Drosophila melanogaster: one gene and its partners. The protein of the gene in region 1 interacts with the protein of each later gene in a pairwise test. Each region holds a gene or a part of one and is shown in the gene's direction. Other genes may lie near its edges. The genes, in order: Hsp67Ba, CG17528, for and Kif19A.

Region 1 (4,221 bases):
AGGATGGAGTAAATTCGCGAAACTTCGAGACTGCAGAACAGTTCTTCTTTTTATGGCCTGGCATTTAAGCTATTAACTTTAATTAATATCCAAGAATGGGGCTCTGTAGTGGGGAAATCTAATTAAAATACATAAGTGGTTAATGCCGGGTAGGTAATAACCCATGGGATGTAAGCGTATTATTACTCCAATCAGTAAGAAAATGTAAAAATGATACGATTTGGAACATATGTACATTCATACAATAAAGGATTCGAAGGATGTAAAAATTATTTGAATAAAATGTAATGCAACTATTTTGAATTTCAAAGGTCGATAGATGAAAACATAAACCAAAAAACATTAAAAACATTTAATAAATTCTAATAGTCAATATTTGGTTTATTGAAAACGAGGCTGTAACCTTTTATTATATTTGACCAATTTCTTAAGACAAATACATATGTATGTATGTAAGATTTAGCTGCACATTTGCTTGGTACAACTTGATAAATATTCAGCTTATATACACATTGTTTAGAATTCAGAATTACTTCGTAATAACCAAATCAAATGACAATTTGTTTACAATTTGTTGTTACAGTAGCGATTGAATAACCATATAATACATGGGCATTGCTATAGAACTCAATCTCTGGTTGTTATATAATTCGAGTTTTTATTTATGGCCCCATTTTCTTGTCACCACTCCTCCTCCACTGAAGTAGAGTACTCTTGGTGCCCAGGGCTTGGACAATCCAACGCCAACGCAGTGGAAGTTGTCTATTCAAAAAGGTGGCCACATAATGTGCGAGCATGCTCGTCCGGCGGATTTCTTCCCCTTGGTTAGGTAAATGGGAGCAAGTACCCAGTGTGTATGTACATGGGGAATGTATCGTATGTACAAGGGGGCATCTCGTACGCAGCAATCTCTGAAGGTTTTTGCTCTTTTCCGACTGCAGCTGGCAGATACACCATATCAATACAAACATACTATATAATATAATATATGGCCATACAGAATTGTATCCCGCAGCTGAGTTCGGGGCCCCAGTAAATTTTTAGCAAAGTCTCCACTGTCTGGCCCCCGTCTGGATGTTGTTGGTGTTGTTGTTGTTTTTTGCATTTTGGAGCTTTTCAACCGGTTGCCATCGCTTGCACTTGGCTATGTAACCACATACGAATCCAGCAATATCATCATCATCTGTGTGGCAGGGTATGTATGTATGTATGTAGATACAAATGTATATGGAGATACCATATGTATGGGTTGCCCCAGACGCTGTCACTGCGCATGTTTACGCGACGCCGGCTTGCCAATCCTCCAGCTCTGGCAACAGCGGATTTGTAGCTTCCAGGCGGCCCTGCCAGCCAGCCAGCCAGCCAGCTGTTGTTGTAGTTGTTTATCGCCGGCGACTCGAATCCGCATCGGCAACCGGCACGAGACTCAGACTCTCAGCTGTTCGCTCAATGCCGGCAGTGGGAATTCAGCTGCAACACGACCACTTTACATATACCCCGTCTATATGGATATTTGTATATATGAGTACATATATGTATATCGCCGGTACAAGGAAGATGGCATCTCTTGGGGGGGATATTCGTGCATATATGCTTCGATTTCAAGCCGGTTTGCCTCTTTTACGTATCTTTTTTATTTGGTTTTGCAACGTTGCAGTTTGGTTTGTCTGGTTTCTTGCCGACTACGAGTACGAGTACTTTCTTTGTTCTCTGGCTATCTGCGGTAGAGGAAAAGTATCTCTTATTTCGGTGTATATAGCAGAAAATGGCATAGTACATGGCTTGACTGACTGTTTTAATGGGTAGCCCTTCCCCTTGGTGAGTTCTCTGGAGGAGTTGCATAGTTTTTCGCCTGGGAGCTGGCATGGAAGCCGACTGGAAGTGACCAGGTTTTCCATTCAGCGCTGCACAGCCGCTTAAAAGCGTCGACATTCAGCCATAAGGGCTCAAACGCAGTCCAGTTGGAGGCCAGAACGGATCGCCGCCGGTTCCCAGACGACACCAATCCCCGCAAGACCTAAAAAATAAAAGATATATCTTAGCCAGATAGGAAGAAAGTGAAAATGTCGCTGATACCGTTCATACTAGATTTGGCCGAGGAGCTGCACGATTTCAATCGCAGCCTGGCAATGGATATAGATGATTCGGCCGGATTCGGGTTGTATCCACTGGAGGCCACCTCACAGTTGCCACAGCTGAGTCGTGGGTTGGGGCGTGGGAATGCAATGATGTGGGTGCCCATCAAGGGTCAGTCGGCGGCATCGCAGCATCGCCATCATCCGTACAATCGTGTGGCCGGAGCCAAGACTGCTTGCTGCAATAAGTCGCTGGTGGAGCTGGAAAAGGAATTGGGCGATAAGGGCACGTCCGGGGCAAGCGGCAGCACCAGTGGCCAACCGGCGGCCAGCAAATCCGCCTACTCCGTGGTGAATAGGAACGGCTTCCAGGTGAGCATGAATGTGAAGCAGTTCGCCGCCAACGAACTGACCGTCAAGACCATCGATAACTGCATCGTGGTCGAGGGTCAGCACGACGAGAAGGAGGATGGCCACGGGGTGATCTCGCGCCACTTCATCCGCAAGTACATCCTGCCCAAGGGCTATGATCCCAACGAGGTGCACTCGACCCTCTCCTCGGACGGCATTCTGACGGTGAAGGCGCCGCCACCACTTCCAGTCGTCAAAGGCAGCCTGGAACGACAGGAGCGCATCGTAGACATCCAGCAGATATCGCAGCAGCAGAAGGATAAGGATGCGCAGCCGCCAAAGCCGTCAGAGGTAGAGCAGCAGGCGGCAGCTAGTGCCACCACTTCCACTTTAAATCCGACTGCACCCACACCCACTCCTTCGCTCTCGCTCACTCTCGCCGAGAGCAACGGCAACGGTCAGGAAGAGACAGAGATGGAAATGCCGGCTGTTTCGCCCCCCATTTCCAATGAGGCTGCTGCTGCCGCTGCTGTTGCAGTGGAAGCCCCTTCCACCGCAGGAACCACTTCCAGTGCCAACAATGGCGTTGCAGAACCAGAATCAGAGTCCATGGAAGTGGCGTTGGCCAAAAACGAAGAGACTGCCAATGTGGATGAACCCACACCCAATCCCGTTATAAGCATCGAAGAGGAGCAAAAGGCAGAGGATGCAAATGCCAACGAAGTGCCCGTTGCCTCGAATAACGGCAATGGAGCAGTCGCAGCAGCCGAGGATGTGGAAATGCCGCTGGCCAAGAAACCGGAAATCTCCACGGAAGACAGCAAAGAGGAGCAGGCGGAGAAGGTTGATAAAGTAGAGAAAGTGGAGGAGAAGGGCGGCGAGGAACTGGCAGCCGTAGATGCGGCCATTCTACTGGCCAAAAACCAAGGCGAAAATGGAGCCACTGCAGCCAAAACCGAGGAACTGGCCAAGTGAAGACTGAACTAAAAGAAAGAACATAAATAGTAATTAAGAACAAATAATAATCTGCACGGGTAGGCGTGCGTTTTATTCCATACGTGTTTCTTGTGTTTTCTTTTCTTGCATTTCACACAAAAAAAAAGAAGCGAGAAAGCTGACGGGAAAAGCACTCAATTACTAATAGTGGGAGATTGCTGGCGTTATATGTATGTATGATTTTCTAAAAAACATATGTGACAACAACTACAAGTATTCCAGTAAAACTTAAAGACAGAAACACGAAATAATGTACTTAATAAAGAGGAAAACCAGAATAAAAAAAACTGACGTTTTGTTTTGTTTGCCGTTAGCCGGCTGTTTCTTTTGCGCTCTTTCTAGAAAATTGCAACAACTCTCTAGAAACTTCGGCTCTCTCACTCATACAGGCGCACTAGCTCTGCTTTTGCGCGTACGACAACAACTACATTTAAAATTTCTCGAAACTCATGGCATTTATTGGGAAAGGTTAGTTAGTTTTATTTTTTGTTTTTAGAGCAGCATTCAATTTAGACTTTTATAAAAGAAATTTCTAATTTGATCCCTCGTTTATCAAACGATACAAAGCTATATTCATAATTTTTTCTCTCTGTGCACGTTCTCTCTCTTCTCTTCTCTCTCTCTACTCTTTCCTTTTTCTGTCACTTTCCGGACTCTTCTAGAAAAGCTCCAGCGGGTATAAAAGCAGCGTCGCTTGACGAACAGAGCACAGATCGAATTCAAAAATCGAGCAGTGAACAACTCAAAGCAACTTTGCGCAAAAGCAAAACTTCAAACGAGAAAAAAAAGGATTAAAAAC
Region 2 (4,959 bases), on another chromosome or scaffold:
TGCGTCTTTGCCGCTAGAATCTGTATGCTGAGTCTCATCCTTCTTCTTTTATAGTTACTGAGATCTCGACGTTCATACAGACAGACTGATCGACTCGACTATTTTTGCCTGTTAAAAGCTTTTCTTATTATTATTTGAAAATAAATAGTTTTTCGTTCGGAGTTTTTTGCATCAAGTGCAACTATTAACTTTCTGTTTAAAAAAAAACTGACGTCCACAACCTTAACTGCAATGGAAATGCCAAAGGTGAATTTAATAATTTATATAATGGCTTACGAAACCACGTTTACGTCCATTTCGTTCTGGTGTTTTCTCACACCATATGCAAAAATAAAAACCGCGTGCTTTAAAAGTAAACGGTAAATAAAGCACAGAATAGAACAAAACCAAAAAATGTGTTTTGAAAATAAAAGCACAGAAAGCACATCAAAACAATCGCACGCTCTAAGCGAGTTAAAGCGATAAATAAGGTTGCAAACTGCTCTCTCGCTTTATCGGTCTCACTCTAATAACTTTCGAGCGATTGCACTTAAAAATGCTTGCAGTGGCTTATCGCTCGTACTTGCCCAATATTATCTCATCGCTTCGCTTTGCTTCTCGCGCGCACTCAGCCGTCAGCATTAGTAGTTGGTCAGGGGGAGAATGCTTATGCGAGCTCATTTTACGTGAGCCCTCAAACAAGGTAAAACAGCTTGTTCTAGCTGTTGTACTAGTCAATTATATACAGGGAGCTCTCGATGTACGCGACTACTATATTCCCTTCCTTAAAAATAAAAATAATATATAATAATATAAAATTATATATATGTAAGTATATAAGAAGCTAAACGCTGAACTGGTCAACGATCTGAAAGTGGGGCGTTTCCTGCCTCACCGCCGCTGCGGCGTCAGCACAGTATTTCGCGCTGGCAGCGGAAGATCAACAACATTGTGCGGAGTTACTGGGCCGGCACTCTCATGACTGCAACACTCGGGCGCGTCAACGAATGTCACGTTGCGCCTGGTTAGCACTTATGCTAGCTGCCCGAGGGCTCGACGCTCATAGCTGGCGAGCGAAGTGACACTCTTGGAGAAGAACCGAACTCGAGCGGATTGTTACCAAAATGCAAACCAATCAAGCGGAATAAAGACAAAGACTAAAGACAAATATTCGATTGATATCATTTCATATGGAACCGACATTTAGGTAATATCAAATCTATTGCCGACCTGGGGTCATTCCTCCAGGTCCTCGGCACTTAACTTATATAAGTTCTCCAATCCTTAAATATAGCACTCTGCCCCAGTTGATAAACAAATTTCAAACTCCAATCTCAGCAGCATTTCAATTATCCAACCCTGTCAATTATCCAAGTTAATCCCCAGTTGATAAACAAATTTCAATCTCCATTCTCAGCAGCATTTTCATTGCCCGTTTTGGGTGCCAGCACTTAGCCACCCGATAAATAACCAAACTTAAAGTAATCACCAGTCAGCAAATTTCGATTTCACAATGCTGTGAAATAATTTCAGTATAAAGCTTTTATCCTTAACATATTTGAAAGTTCAAGAAAATCCTAAAGAAATGCTTCTGGCCGAGGCTGAGTGGATTAGGATTAAGATTTAAAAGATCAGTCTAAATCGGGACGAGATCGTGAGCAGTTTCAAAACAAAGATAAGCTATTAAAAAAAGTGTCTTGTAATAGTATAAGTGCAAACGTCTATCACCGAATAAATTTAAATAATAATAAAAAAATTATTTATTATAAATAATTAAACAGTAACAATTTAAATACATTCTACTTCATACATTTTAAATTTTTAAATTAGATAGGGCCTGAAAAAACGAATAAATAAGAACCTAATTTTCCCTCTTTTCCAATATTCCTTAATCGGCGTAAAATCATCGACGATATCTTGACGGCGTGAATTTTATATAGGAACGAGTTTCGAAATCTGTTGCGGCCCAACGGTGTATGTGTGGTGATATCGAAGCACGGTATTACAATTAAAGCAGTTTACATTTGTGCTAAAGATTATTATTAAATATAATATCCGTTTTGAATTATCTTTTGACAAACAATAAGTTTTTTACATTTTGTTTAGGCGGAATGATTCAATGAAAAAGAATTGTAAAAAAGTATATTTAATAACAGTGTTCAATTTAGTATTATTGACAGGTAAATCAATTTTAGTTTGTGCTATAACGAATGTCGAACACGGTTAAAAAACTAAAACATGCTGACATCATAAATCACCTTGAGCGAAAATCCATAAGTAAAATTCCGGTATAATCCTTTTGTGTGAATAACTATAAAATTGTGTACGCAACTCAGCCGTACAGGTTTCAAGGTACAACCCAAAAAATACATTGTTTTGACATCAGGTGAGAGCATTAAAGATGTCAAATAACATCCTCTTTAAAGTACGCATTGCGACCAAATATATTTAACCCGTCCCCTTAACAGCGTGGCAAAGTTTTGCATTTATTAATTCTCCACTGTGCTATCAAATTGAAGTTCGTCTGTGCATTGATTGGAGTGTTTAAAAGACTGGTGTCCCTTACAACCATTTTCAATGCAGGGTATTATGGTTTCCAGCTTATTTCAATCAACACAAGCAGCCTATAAAACAACCAGCCAAGCAAAAATATTTTTACTGCACGATATTATTGCAATGTTTATACTTACACATTTACTTATTATATATTATTACCCTTGCGAAGGGTATATTGGTTTAGACAGAAGACATCTGTGTCTGGCCGTCCGTTCCTAAGCAAACTAGTCTCCCAGTCCTAAAACTTTAAAACTTTTCTATTGCTGGTAGTATATAAATTAAGTCAATTAGATTATTATAATAAAATAGGTATTTATTGAGCCAACTTCTCTTGTTTTCGGTCTCTTACAAAATAACTTCTAGAGCTCACTTATTTATCTCACAAAGTCTTCCGTTGAGGGCAGCGGACATGCCCGTCCCGTATTGAACTGAACGTTGCACATCGCTTTTGCTGAAGGGGAAAGAAGCTCGCCCGGCCCGGTACCGTCGATGTTACTGTTGACGGTGCCGCATCCGGTTCTGGGTGGCATTACGCAGGACCACTTCGAGGCAACTTGAAGGCATCCGGATTCTATGTCCTTAGATGGTTGTTTACGTTTGAAGCGGCAAATAAGACAAATGATGAGGACTATCGATATCACAGAAAAATGATGATAGTCGCAGAACTCAACTATAGCATTCTCTCATGTTTTTCATATATTTAATAGTATTATAAATTTCTATGGATCTGCCAAAAAACTTTTTGCCACACCCACTCTCTCTCTCCCACACTTTTGACAAATTTTAAATTTTTTCTCATTTTATTCACCAATATCTGTAGATATCGCTGAAAATATATGGAATTTCGAGTTCGCATTTCCACTAGCTGAGTAAGGGGTATCTGATAGAAAAAAAGCTTATTTTAAAGGGTGGGCAAACGAAATTATTCATTTTAAAGAGTGAGCAAACAAAAAAACTAATGTTAAAGTATGTGTAAATGATAATTTATTTTTAAAGGCTAGGCAAACGTTTTTTATTCTTAATTTTTATTTTCAAGAGGTAGGCTAACGAAACTGGTAATATTTTAAGTGTGGGCAATCGGAAAAAACTTTGGTTAAAGATTTGTTTAAGGATGGGCAAACCATAAAAACTAATAATAATGGTTGGGCAAAAAATATTTATTGATAATATTTCGTTTGACTTTAATCTCTGAGTGAAGTCTAAAGTTTTTTTGAAATATTTTTGAATATTTTTTTACATTTTTACTAGTCTTGTAAAATTCTATCTATTTGCAAACTCCCACTTCAACGCCCTAAAACCGCTCAAAACTGCCATGTCCACATTTTTGAAAAGTGGAAGAAAAGAATTGGACTTATCAAAACAAAAGAAATGGCGGCGATAAATTGTCGACTATAGAAAATTAAACTCGCAAAAAATCGAAATTCGATATCAAAAAAAGTTGGGCTATAAAATATTTTCTTCTTTATTCTTGGCAAAAGACTTGGCGATATCAATCCCATGCAAACAGTTAAAATAAATGACGAACAAAACAACGACTTTTCGTTTGACCTAATAGACCAATTCTCAACCCAATCTATTTGAATCTATCTGACAATTTATACTATCTTAAAAATACAGAAAACATATTAAACATATAAAGTACAATAGTTATTGTTCTGAGCCGAATAAATGATCCGTATTTGAACTAAGATCAACGTTGAAATAAATAAAAACTCCGAATGAATCCACTTTGCGATTTTATTGATTGAATATCAGCTTAAGACTGAAACAATTGTGGTGAGAAAATCTTAGATGTACTGGGTTAGTGGGTTGTTCTTGCTTATGCTTATGTTTATGTGCATACATGTTAAAAAGAATTCTTATGTGCTACGTGGCTATGTGCCTGCCTAATGGCTGGGTTTTGGTTACGGCTTGAGTGAATGCGAAATATAGAGAAATGTTTTTTTTATTTAACGGGTAATCGATACGACGGCGGACCATCGCGGTCGGTCTTTTGTATAAGTGAATTATGAGGAAGGCATAATTACGTTACTATATAAGTTGCAGTACTAAAAGAGTCGGAAAAAATATTACGAGGCACCAATATTGTATAAATAAAAAAAATAAGATACCTTGTTCACACAACAAGAAGTAATGCTACCATTTTAGAAAAATTACGAAAAATTATACCAGGGAAAAGGCTAAATAGCCATTTACTGTAAAGTCATAAAATTGTACCTAAAATTCCAATAATGCTATATTCAATATTTCATATTCAACAACAATTTACAACAAATAAGTTAAGTTAATTAAATTAACAACTTAATAAATTAATTGATTTCTTTTTAATAGACGTCACAGAAAGAGAACAAATATCTATGATAGGCTAGTTTTTTGTATGTCGCAGAAGCTGGCCTTCTCTCGTTACAGGCTTTCGATACAACT
Region 3 (4,725 bases), on another chromosome or scaffold:
GGCCAAAATGGCTGAAAGGGGTGAGGGGGCGGCAGGGGAGGCTGGCTTTTTTCTCCTTTCGTTTGTCTGATTCTGTCGGAATAATAAAAGTAATTTAATTTTAATGAAATTGTTAATACGAAAACAATTTCATTTTGCAAAAAGTTTTGCCTGGGCCAAAAGATGGGCAGAGACGGGGGTGGTGGGGTGTGGAGAGAGAGTGAAATTGCTCGTGACAATGAGTGAACGGGAAAACAACAAACAAACAAACAGGAGTGCGAGAGAAAAGAGAAGGCCAAACGAGCAAACACTACGGTACAGAAAATACAAAAATGCCGTCGCAAAGCCAAACAAAAAAGGCACTGCACAAGCGAAAGAGACAGAAGGAGGGAAAGAGAAAGATAGGGAATGCGAGAAATGAAATGCTGATGCGAAGATTTAATAAATGAAATTGGTGTGTGATTAAAAACACAAAAACCAAACGAAATCCATCTAATCAACTTTTGCTGCCGCCTCACTTTTCCTCTACTTTCTCCTCCTCCTTTTCCACCGACCCGTTTCTCCTTTTGTCCTTTCTCCCAGCTGCTATCTCTTTCCTTCCTTCCCGGCGACGTCGACTGCGAGAGCGGCAGAGGGGTGAAAAGAGGGTTGCGAAGTTGGGGAGGGGTGGCACAATACTGGGGGTGGGTGGTCTTAAGTTTGCAACGCCTTCTTGAGGGAAATTCCCGACCAAAGATCCTTGGATTTTTCTAACCTTACGAAATTGTACATAAATAACGGTTAAAATTAATAAATAATTTTTACAATATGTTACTTATTCCACTTAAACATTTATGTTTAATTAAAAAATTTTGAATTTTCAACATGTTTCAAAAAATGTCTTTTTATGTACCATAAAAGATCGGAAAATTCATTCTACCTGTTATATACTTCTTAACAAATCTAGTATACCCTCTTACGAAACGAGTTAAATAGTAAAATTTCCCAGTTTCTTATTCCCCTTTTGGGATTTTCTCTCTTCTCAGGCTCCACCCCTACATATGAGCAGAAAATGGCTCTGAAATGCCTATACATACACATATTTACATACATGACGGCCAGTTGCTATGACATTCTACATCTTACATGCATAATAAATCTGAAATGTAACGTACAACGTAAGTTAGAAATCACTAAAATGAAAAATGGCGCTGTATTAGTTCCAAAAACAAACACCATTTGTCGTAAACGGATAGGCGTTGTGTGCTGTTAGTTCCAAAAGTATACGAGAAAAGTTGAATAAATCATGGCGCAGAGTTAATCCTGCATTGGCAATTTATAATACTAGATTAATTTAAGACCGATCTTGACCAACTTCAATGATGATTTCATTCGGAATGATTATTAAAATCAAACTGATACATCATCTCTGAGAGAACTAGCAGGGAAAATATTATAAATTCTACTACTCTACTAAATCTACTCCTTTCACATAGTATATTTACGTTAACAAACAAAGTACACTTTTATTAATATGAATATTTTGTTATTTGATTAAAGTAATTAATTTGTAGAAAGGATTGAGCATAATATTGTTTTAAATTTTTTTTTTCTATCTCAACGCTAATTCATAACATTGCATCAGAAGAGAAAATAATTTTTTAAAAATTAAGAGAAAAAATGCTAATGTGCTCTTTATTTCATAATATTCGAGTAGTGGTAGCGAGTAAGTTGTTTGTTTCATTTTCAGTCTGTTGGAATTTCTCGTGCTGTGCGGTTGTCATTTGTCGCGATCGTGCTTGGAATTGACTTTAGCGGCATTTTTATAAGAATCAATGCAACGCGTGGTTTTCCTGCAAATTTTGGCACAAGTTCTTAATAAAAGAAAAAAAATATATATATATATGGCATTGGCGTTTATCAGAATAATCCACATCGCCATTTAGTTCGGTGGTTTTTCATCGACTTGTGCTTGTGTGTGCGTGCCACTTGGTTAGTTGTTGCTGCTTTCGCTAGTCGTACGATCTAGCATTTGTGCTCAATTCTGAATTCTAAAATAAAACAACAACTAGCGTTTTCCATATGTGCAACTATTTGCCTTAAAAAGCAATTAAAGCAAAGGCAGTGGTTAAAGTTGACTAAATATTAGTAAAACGTGAATTGTGAATGCAGTTTTGGTGCATTAAGCGAAGAGAGTGGAAGAGAGAGCGGCTCTCTTTTAGTTTGTGATTTCAAAGTGGAAAATTATTAATTCAAATGCAGTCTGCAATTAATTTCATGGAAAATCACTTGTTAGCTGCTCGTTCGCTCTGTCTCTTTCGCACTTCAGCTGACGAATTTTCCGTGCTAAACTTGACACTTTTCAGTCCATCATTCCAACTAATTCTTTGACTGCAGTTTTGCGTCGCATTTCCTTTCTACGCCGATCTGCCTCTTTGCCTTTCTTTTCTCTGATATATTTCAACAGAAGCTCAGTTGTTGTTGTAACTACTCCTCCTCCTTTTTGTTACTTGCTGCTTGTTTTTGTTGCTCGTCATGTACAATTTTTTCCAATTTGTGCGCCTTTTCATATTTTATTCTGCCGCGCTGTTTTTCTGTTTTCTGTTTCTGTCTCGCCGCCGCTACTATTTTTAGCAACAAGTATGGCTGATGTTGTTGTTGCTGCCGCTCAAGTTAACTACGCTACGCTGGCAGAAACAACAACAAGTCAAACTATGCGGAGCGAGAGAGAGTGAACTGAAAACAAAAAGAGTGAGCGATAAAATCCGCGAGAAAGAGTACAGTGGGGCTCGACTTAAATTATCATATTAAGCCAGATCACAAGTATTAACAAATCGAATGTTCTTAAATCCAATAAGCGTTAATCAGCAATGTTGATCAAAAGTTTTAAAATTATTTAATCGATATCAGTGAACTATTGAATACTATTGGTAAAAGCTCAGTCTTGTTTGCATCTTCAAGTGGGGGTCCCACTGTATTCGACTCAGGTGATAACAATAACAGCGACGAGTGAGAGAACTCTCTCTCACTCTCTCTCCTTCATTTCATTTCCCAATCTTTCGTGTTCGTGTTCTGTGGCTAATAGCATTTAAATTTTAATGCCCAATTTCATAGAAACGCAACGCAAGTGGAAAGACTCGAGAAAACAAAAGTGCAGGCCGTCTAAATTGATGGCGAAGTTTCGTGTGCCGCCTGCATTTCATTTATAAATATATTTTCGGCCTTAATTCTGTGCTTCCTGTGAATTAACGAGGAAACTGAAGAGTGCGCGAGCGAGACAGCCGATCACAAATCAACAAGTGGAAACGAAGAAACTTTCTTCGCAAAAGCCGGCTGATCGCAACAACAAGAAGAAAAGAGAGCGATTCTCTGCGACTGGAACCATAACATTTACATCGACCCTGGAATTTCTTCACTTTTCGTCCAACATGTAAGCTCCATTTTAATATGCAATTACTGTTCGCTGTTGTCGAACAGCAACTTATTTATTCATACTTATTGTTTATTTATGGATTTATGCCGCCTACGAACTTTGTGATTGCACAATCGTTCGGCCTTTGAATAATTTTTTTTTTCGCCAAGGCGCCCTTTTGTCTATATACCCATCTCTTTCGACTGCTCCAGTGCTGTCTTTTTCTGGTCCGTGCTTTGAATAAACAATTAAGGCTCAGGGTCTTTAAGCCCTTTTCTCCGCCTTAGAGCCGAAAGTGATTGTTGTAATTTATAATTTATATTTCCTTTCTTAATAAATAAATAAATAGTCAAGTTTATGTTTGAGTTTTATGATTTATATTTTAAGTTATTTCAACTGCAACACCAGCACCACGACCTACTCACAGCAAAAAACGTACAAGAAGGAAAGAAGGAATAAAAAGAGTGGTATTCTCTTACAATATGTTTTATGGCATAAAAGGTGTGGCCATTCATATCAAATATAAAGTAGTGTTGTTTAACGTTATTTTTGTAGGTTGAATAGTATATTCCAACACGCCCCCTCAAAAATAACGTCTATAATTAAAAACATAACAATAATATTCATTAGTAACTATCAAATGTGGGTGGTGTGCATTCTGGGAAGTGTTAACTGATCCAGCATTTGCTGCGAGGATACGGGGAAAACCCAGAAAAACCCGATCAGATCATTGTAACAAAATATGTTTACAGGAATTTAAATTTGAAAAATATATATAAAAATTTCATTCAGCATTCGATTGGTCGTCTTGCAGCAAACCCAATTTGTCTCGTAACTCCACAAATCTCGCAGCAGGCAACGGTTTTGTAAATATGTCAGCCAGTTGATTCTCTGTAGGAATATACTCAAGACAAATCACATTATTCTGAACTTGCTCTCTGGCAAAATGATATTTAATATCAATATGTTTAGCTCGTTTATGACATGAGGGATTGTTTGCTATGCTAATACAGCCTTGATTGTCTTCGTAAATTTTAATGGGGTTTTCTAGTTTAATGTTAATACTAGTTAATAAAAATTTAAGCCATAGAGCTTCTCTCACGGCTTCAAATAGGGCCATATACTCAGCTTCAGTTGATGAGGCTGCTACTGAGTTCTGTCTCTTTGTATTCCAACAAATGAGATTAAAATCAAACATTTTGAATAAATACCCTGTTGTACTTTTTCTATCAATTTCACTACCAGCCCAATCAGAATCCACATAACCAATAATTTTATTTTCAAATGCCAAGTTCTTTTTAAAAATCAATTTCATATCGATAGTGCCCTTCAAATATCTAAGAACTCTTTTTAAG
Region 4 (7,731 bases), on another chromosome or scaffold:
AAAACGACGACGGCTGGTGGGAGGGCGTCATGGATGGTGTTACCGGTCTGTTTCCGGGCAACTACGTAGAGCCTTGTGTCTAAGCCTCGCATCGATATTCTAAACATGCCAACCATTACAATAATCTGCATCATCTGGTCTGTTCCAGTCCTCTGCTGCTTCTCAAGAGCTCCAAAAAATTTCAATTCAGTTATCGGAGAGTTAGACTGAGGACCGCAACAGACTCAGCTGACAATGACGATAAGATTTTGAGCATATTAATAAGGACAATTATACAATTACACACCTACACAAGCACAGCAGGCCAGAGAAAGCGAATTCCATTAGCATCAGCCAACCGCATTTAGTCTAATATAAACGAGCACACAAACACACAGAATCCACGGGCTAGGGATACCGCTTGCTGCCCAACTAAAACTATTTACACTTTAGTAGCCGAAAACGATGCAAGAAGGGGAAAGTGAAACCGGATACCCGTGAATAACTTATGCGATATTATAAAACTGTTCCACAACCGTAGACGAATTCTGTCCTGCTCCTGCCGCCAATCCAAATACTTTAAATATTTGCTCACAGTTTTATCAAGCGATTTCTGTTTGCCTTGCGCTTTGATATGCCCGGCTATTATACACCAATACTACCCGAACCTATGCCCCCAGCAATACTGTAGGTTATATAAATTTCAGTTAGCATTTAATACTTAAGTATTGGCCAGTTGGAACTTTTGTTTATACTTTTACGAACCGCAACGATGTCTTTTTTTTGCGAACGTTTAGTTAAAATGGAATTGCCAGCAAAGGAATCAAATTAAATTAAACAATACAAGTACACATACGCTCTATATGGTAAAAATAATAGCTAATAAAAATTTCAATTACTAAACCGCAAGCCCTTGTTCTATGACCGTGTAATTTGCGCTGACCTTCTCGTGAGTCGAGCCCCGGATGTCAGTAAAAATCCGTAATTGGGGCAAGGCTCTGTGGCCTGCCAAATTCAAATTCGAAATCTCAAATGCAAATTTCAAGTCGTGTGATGGAAGGCTTGAAATATTTGCAAATGCCAACACTCATTGGGGTCATTCAGTCAGTCAATCAATCCATTATAATCGACACTTTGCTCTACAAACCGATTTCAATTCAATGTCTCGTCCCGGAAAACTTTTCCATAACTCGGCTCCGGGTAAATTAATGCTTTCGTGGTGATATGTGGAAGGTTTTTTACCCATTTGCTAAATTTATTATCAGGTTTCGAGGAGTTGACGTGGCGGAAATGCCAGAAAAAAGTGGAGTGCTGGCATGATTTGCATAAAATGTGCTAAATTGTTGCCCACTTTTTGGGCCCCTCAACTATACATACATAAATATGGAAATACCTTTATTTGTGAACAATTATTGGAGTGGACCTGAACAGCTTGAAGACGGACTCTTTGAACGACTACTTTAACCCACAACTGGCCAGCGGCAGGTGGAACCCGCCAGGAATGTATGCAAAATGGCGCATTAGCATTTGAACAATGCCATAGTAAAAAAACGTGGCAACAACAATAGTTGGTTGATTGTGCCGTGCCAGGAGTCGAAACACCGCCCACCCAGCAGGCACCCAACCTGGAATCCATTCCAAACCCCCTGGACATGCCTATAATTTCGTTATTTTCTGACCAGGCCGAGTCGGACGCTTCAGTTGAGTTTGGTACGTCGACGCGAATGGTTCCACAAGTCGCTTTCATTTCGGATTCTACTCCACAACGTTCTTGGCGACCCAGTGTTTCCGGTGTGTTTTGACTTTAAGCCTCTTTTTTTGGCGAGTGGCGTGTCCGGAATAGTTTTCCGAGCGGATAAAGTGCAATACAAAACTATTTGTAAGTGAACCGCGATGCAGAGGTGCTTGAAAAGTTTTTATCATTTGTGTGTTTTACATAATCGAAATGTAAGCCGAGATTGGGGTGGCTCCTCTCTGCGGGCACCGCATTTAATTGACCTACTTGGTGCCGGATTTACTTGCTGGCCAAGTGTAAAATATTACATTATTCCATGTCAGGATTGGGGCCACTGGCCACTTTGTTTATGGCGTAAAGAATTCGCCTGCCTCGTCAATGCGGACAAGTTGGCCCACTTAATGTCGAAATTCTCAAAGTTTCGTGACACGCACAACTTTCTCGAAACTCGAGACGCGCTAATTTGGAAAACCCCGTGAAGGTTAAAAGTTTTGCACTTGCATTCAAAGTCCACTACAAAAATGACGTCACCTTGGATGCATATTGGGGGCTGGTCACTCAGCTTAATGGGCCACTAAAAATAAACCCGGCAAGTGTGTGCCAAGGGAAATGGCTTTGGGTAATTAAGTCGTCTCCAGGTCAAAAAAGCCATCAATCACCACCACTGCGTATACGCAATGCTCCTGGTGGGTAATTACACTCTGGCATTATGGGGTTTGCCTTTCTCGGGCTTTGTTAGCTTGGCAGGATTTAATAGGGAAATACTCATAATTTTTGCTTATCTAACAAGACTCTTTGTTTTGGAATTCAGAATTCCTTTTAATATGAACTTAATATGTAAATATGGTTAATATAAGATTGGATTGCACTGCAATTGATTTTTCCAATTATGAAGATTATAAATACCATAACCATATGGAATTATAATACATCAAGCACTTGAATAACAACTTTAATGAGCAGTGGTATTATTTTGTGACCTCGTTTTCATATCGAACGTATAGAAAATAACTATAACCATTTGTCAAAGCTTACGGGTCTTTTGTTTTATTCAGATCCCCATCGATGGGTATGTTTATTTGGATTCCTTTTGGTCGATGGCCATTGTCGCGAGTGAGTTAAAAGGTATGTGTTCTTTATCACTCACTAGACTGTCCTGGATCGAAAAGCAAACTCATTAGCCATAAAGAGTCTGTCACACGTGTTATTACTTAGCCGTGCTTGGAGTTATAGGACTTTTCCAGCTACCCTTTCCCACCGAATCGGGACTTTCCCTCGAAAAACGCCTTTCAAAGCTTCAATTCATATGCGCTACTCCATTACTCCCGACCCAACTGCCCCAATTCTCCCCCTAAGCGCCACTAATGAGCTCTAAGCAGACCACCATGCGCTGGCCACACAATGCCACACCTCCACGTGGCTCCAACTCCCCCATGGGGTTCACTAGCCGGCAAATCAAAGCATGGAACACCAAAGCATTAAAAACATTAACAGTCGACGTGCGACAACAACCGAAGACAAAGTCACTGAGCCACCGAACCACTGCACTACTTAACCACCCAGTCGAATAGCCCACCACAAACCATTCGGAATGCCAACCACATGCCGCCCCACATCCAGTTGATTCAGAAGTCCTGTCCACTTGCCTTCGTGTCGTGTCTGCCGGCAATTTACACAAATTCAATAAACGACCAAAAGACCGTCGTAGTGGAATTCGAAACAAGAACTGGCAAAAGTGTTGAGGTCTCCTCGTGGGTGGTGGTTTAAATCGGACTCAATTGCACCACCCATTAATGGGCGCTCAATTAAAGTGCTCAAATCGATTTTCGGCATTATCAAATTAACTGCCTTCGAAATAGGCACCGAATTATCATAACAAATAAATTATATATTCCATTCGGAAATAAGTTAATTCCCTATGATCTAAAATATATTAAGACTTTATGCACTTCATTTAATGGAAATTAGTGGGAATTTTACAGAACCTCAAATAGAACAAAAAAATTTATATATAAATAAGTGCATATTTTCCCAATGAGTTCCTATAACAGCCTATAACATATCTATACATTTCAAGCGATCGCTGTTATAATTTTTCCCAGTGTATCGAATGACACCCCATCACTCAATTCGAACGCCCATCTCTGTTGACATTCAAGGCCTGTAATTTGTGTACATATTTGAGGAGCAAGTGCCGCGGAAGCTTGGTCTTTTTGTTATGGGCTGTTCCATCACAAATTCATGGCACCTGAATGGGAACATGGAATTAAAATGAATAATCCAAACCGTTGGCACTCAATAAGTCCCACGTTTTATAATTGACCAGCTCTTAGGCAAATGAAATTAATTATGGCTTTGGGGAAGCGACAGTTGGCTGCGGGGCTATGGAAGTTTTCCTTTATAGTGAGTGACAGGTGTTGGGTGTTTGGGTTCAGAGGTCACAACATGTTTGGCACACGGACAAAGATTATGGATTAGCGTGAATGGATTGACACTTCTATTTCCGGCAACACTTTCATTTAATTTGAATTTTATGCACTTCAATTTTATGGACAACACCATGCGAAAAAGAAAAAATTGGCTGGAACTTTCAAGAATCCATATATGATTTGAAACATATGATTAGAAATATTGGAAGTCTTGTAATATAGGTAAAATTGTGTTTAGTATTGTGGGCAACATTATTTTTTTTAGAGATCCATCACCTTTTTATTGGAATTTTGATCCATAATCTGAACCCTTGAAGGTTAATAGACTCTTGAGGACTTCAGGGTTCCCAGTTCAGGTACAGTACCCTCTCGATGACCATCGAACTGCTCCATTTGATTTGCATGCGGAGACACGCAGGCACTTTTTGGGTGTTCAAGTTCACGGCTTGATTTATGGCCCACGCCAGCTCCTTTAGCTCCTTGAGTTCTTTGGGCCACAGGTAAACAAGAGCCATGGGACTCCAAGGACCCTCCTTCACAGAGAAATTCCCTGTAAAGAGGCGAGACCTTGGCGCGCAAATTCACAAGTCCATTAGGAGTTCGTTGGGTGTTTCCCGCGCTGATGGCAGTTTTACGATTGTTGACAACAAATTGACACGATTTGTAATGGTCCTGTCCAGGTCAGGTCATCAACCAGGCCAGGCGGCACGTGGCTGCACAAGGACTACCCACCCACATATCCATTGCTATTTGCCATTTATCTGAAGGATCGCAGTGATGGCGACCAGTGCTGGAGCGAGCAGCTGGTCGGGCAGCAGTGGAGGCAGCAACTCCTCCCAAGGACGATCCATTGCTACAGCTCAACCGGCGCAGGAGGAGAGATTAGTGGTGAGTATATACTCTATGGAGAATATACTATTTCAGAAACAATTACTTAAATTTAGAATTTAATATTACAATTGAAGATATGATGGGATAAGAAGTTCTTCCTTTTTTTTAATCAGTTGCTTTAGTACGTAATAATAACTTCCTAATCTTCTTTAGGTTGCAGTTCGGGTTCGACCCAGTATGGAGGCCACGGAACGCTGCATCGAAGTCATCTCCGGCGGATCACTTCTGTACGATGATGGCGGAAAGAGTCGTCCACGGCAGTATTCGTACGATCATGTATTCCGGGAGAACGATAGCCAGGAGCAGGTTTACAAAACGACTACGGCTCCTTTAGTCAGAGATGTCCTTAACGGTCTGAATGCGGCCGTTTTCGCCTATGGAGCCACTGGATCCGGAAAGACGCACACCATGCTGGGACCTGTGCCGCGCAAAAAACCGCAGACCAGCGATCGTGCCCCACCCACAGCATCCTGTGATTCCACAGACGTGAGCAGCCAGGACATCGGGCTAATGGTGCGCGCCATAGAAGATATATTCAGTCACATCGAGTCAGCGGAGGCGTATTCGTGTCGCGTTTCCATATCCTACCTGGAGATATACAACGAGCTCATAAGGGATCTCCTTAATCCTGGAGGACCCTTGGAGCTGCGAGAGGATCATCGTGGCCAGCGCATCACCGTGGCTGGTCTCTCGGAGATTACCACTTCCAGCAGAAAGGAGGTTGTAAGTCTGTTGCTCAAGGGAAACAAGGCCAGGACCATGGAGCCGACGGCCGCGAATCAAACTTCCTCACGCAGTCACGCCCTTTTGAGTATTATGGTTCAGGCAAGGACGCCGTTGGGCACCAAGCAAGGACGACTCTTTCTCACCGATCTGGCCGGATCGGAGCGGGCTAAGAAAACAAAGAATAGGGGTAAACGATTGCAGGAAGGTGCCCACATAAATCGAAGCTTGCTGGCACTGGGCAACGTTATCAACGGACTATCCGGCGGTGCCAGGTATGTCAACTACCGGGACTCCAAGCTAACCAGGCTGCTCAAGGAGGCGCTGAGTGGTCGCTGCAAGACCGTAATGATTGCCCATGTTGCACCGGAAAGTAAGCACCGCGATGAGACCAAGAACACTCTGGTTTACGCCGACCGAGCTAATAGCATCACTACCAAGCTCCAAAACTCCGTGTACATCGATGAGTTCAAGGACTTTCCCACCAAACACTACCAAAGTCTCGTTTCGGAGCTGCGCGATGAAGTATCACGTCTGCGCACCAAGATGCTAACCGAAAGGCCTCGGAGTGGAGCAGCTGCAGCAGCGGCAGCCGCAGCAGCTTCAGGCTCTGCTGGGACCGCTGGATCTGGAGCTGGATCGGAAGCTGTCCAGGAACAGGACGAACAGCGCAAGACCGAACTCCGTTACCTGCGCGAACAGATTGTTCTCACCTTCAAGCAGCAGATGAAACTGCGCAGGAAACTCCTCGAGGCCGAGAGCCATCTACTGGGCTTGGAACTGGACGCTGAGCGGCAGCATATGATTATCTCCCACTGGCAAGGACGCATTGGAAAACTATATGATGCAATGGGCGATGACGGTGTGTTTTCTCCCACATATTACTGATCACGAAATCATCATATTTGGTTTGTTTTTCCGCAGACATTGAATCAGAAGGATCGGTGGCTTTGAAAAATGCCTGGGGAGAACTGGCGGCTATAGAGAAGGAGACCCGCCGCTACAAGGAAATCCGCGAGAGGACGGAGCACGAGCTGGAGCAATGCCGTCAGAAAGGAGTCAAACTGGAGGATGTGAGTCTTAGTGGGGTGCATTTATCCATTTGTGGGCAATAGTATCTTCCTTTCCGAACAGGAACTTCCGGAGCGCATTAGCAGTGACGAGGAACGCGAACTGCTAGCACTCCTCTGCCGTGTCCACGAGTTGGAGGCGGACAAGGTATCGCTGCAGGCGGAGCGGCTGGCTCGCCAGGCGGAGCTGCGCAGGCGTGATCTTCAACTGCTTAGGGCAGAAAGACAGCGACGCCTCTGCGAGGACATCATCAGCTCCCAGAGAAGGCTCATCGAAGAGGGCAACGTGGATCTGCCGGATGAGTTGCGTGAGCTTTATGGGCTTTACCAGCAGGAGATACATGCTGGCGTGGTAACACCCAGCACCAGCAACTATGAACGGAAACTACCGCCCATCTATACTGCGGGGTAAGGATTCATTTTGGGATAACTACAATATTGATCCGAGAAGAAGTTATTAAATTGTCACATTTGCCCAAAGATCTGACTCACCCGGCTCCAGTTCCAGTTCAGAGTGGTCGCCGGCCTCGCCCCTGCCTCAAATCGACAACCAAATGGATCCTGTCGACCGAGTCATGGGCCCACCTGTCAATCCGCGTCTGCCCCGGCTTTCCGCAGCTACAAGTGCGAATGTTCCAGCCGGAGGATCACGTCGACCTTCGTTAAGGGTGGCCAGGAATCCACATCCACATCCGTAGGATTGACGGTCACTAGTGGAATGGAAGGTGCTCAGGAATAGTTGTAATTAAGGCCTAGGATTCTTAGGAAGAGGATTCGAATGTCTGCTCAATTTACTCATTGTGTTATATCTTTCCATCCCAGGCACTTAAATATGTTATGCATATATCCAATAAAAATGTAAGCTTTAAGGACCTAACAAATTTTTAAAATATAAATATTGATT

Evidence for each region.
Region 2: the proteins of Hsp67Ba (region 1) and CG17528 interact in a two-hybrid assay, tested with the Drosophila melanogaster proteins (one large-scale study listed by BioGRID).
Region 3: the proteins of Hsp67Ba (region 1) and for interact in a two-hybrid assay, tested with the Drosophila melanogaster proteins (one large-scale study listed by BioGRID).
Region 4: the proteins of Hsp67Ba (region 1) and Kif19A interact in a two-hybrid assay, tested with the Drosophila melanogaster proteins (one large-scale study listed by BioGRID).

What each region holds. Positions count from the first base shown.
Region 1 is NT_037436.4:9,377,282-9,381,502, reverse strand, and holds Hsp67Ba (heat shock gene 67Ba), read left to right. Parts: upstream 1-1,968; 5' UTR 1,969-2,063; coding exon 2,064-3,401; 3' UTR 3,402-3,701; downstream 3,702-4,221.
Region 2 is NT_033778.4:4,821,311-4,826,269, reverse strand, and holds the start of CG17528 (uncharacterized protein), read left to right. Parts: upstream 1-1,950; 5' UTR 1,951-2,365; intron 2,366-4,959.
Region 3 is NT_033779.5:3,653,933-3,658,657, reverse strand, and holds the start of for (foraging), read left to right. Parts: upstream 1-1,704; 5' UTR 1,705-1,936; exon of another isoform or gene 1,937-1,950; intron 1,951-3,072; 5' UTR 3,073-3,388; intron 3,389-4,725.
Region 4 is NT_033777.3:14,112,417-14,120,147, reverse strand, and holds Kif19A (kinesin family member 19A), read left to right. Parts: upstream 1-1,697; 5' UTR 1,698-1,858; intron 1,859-4,823; 5' UTR 4,824-4,920; coding exon 4,921-5,031; intron 5,032-5,187; coding exon 5,188-6,619; intron 6,620-6,681; coding exon 6,682-6,830; intron 6,831-6,891; coding exon 6,892-7,235; intron 7,236-7,308; coding exon 7,309-7,525; 3' UTR 7,526-7,697; downstream 7,698-7,731. Other genes in the region: Abi (abelson interacting protein), read left to right, coding at 1-83.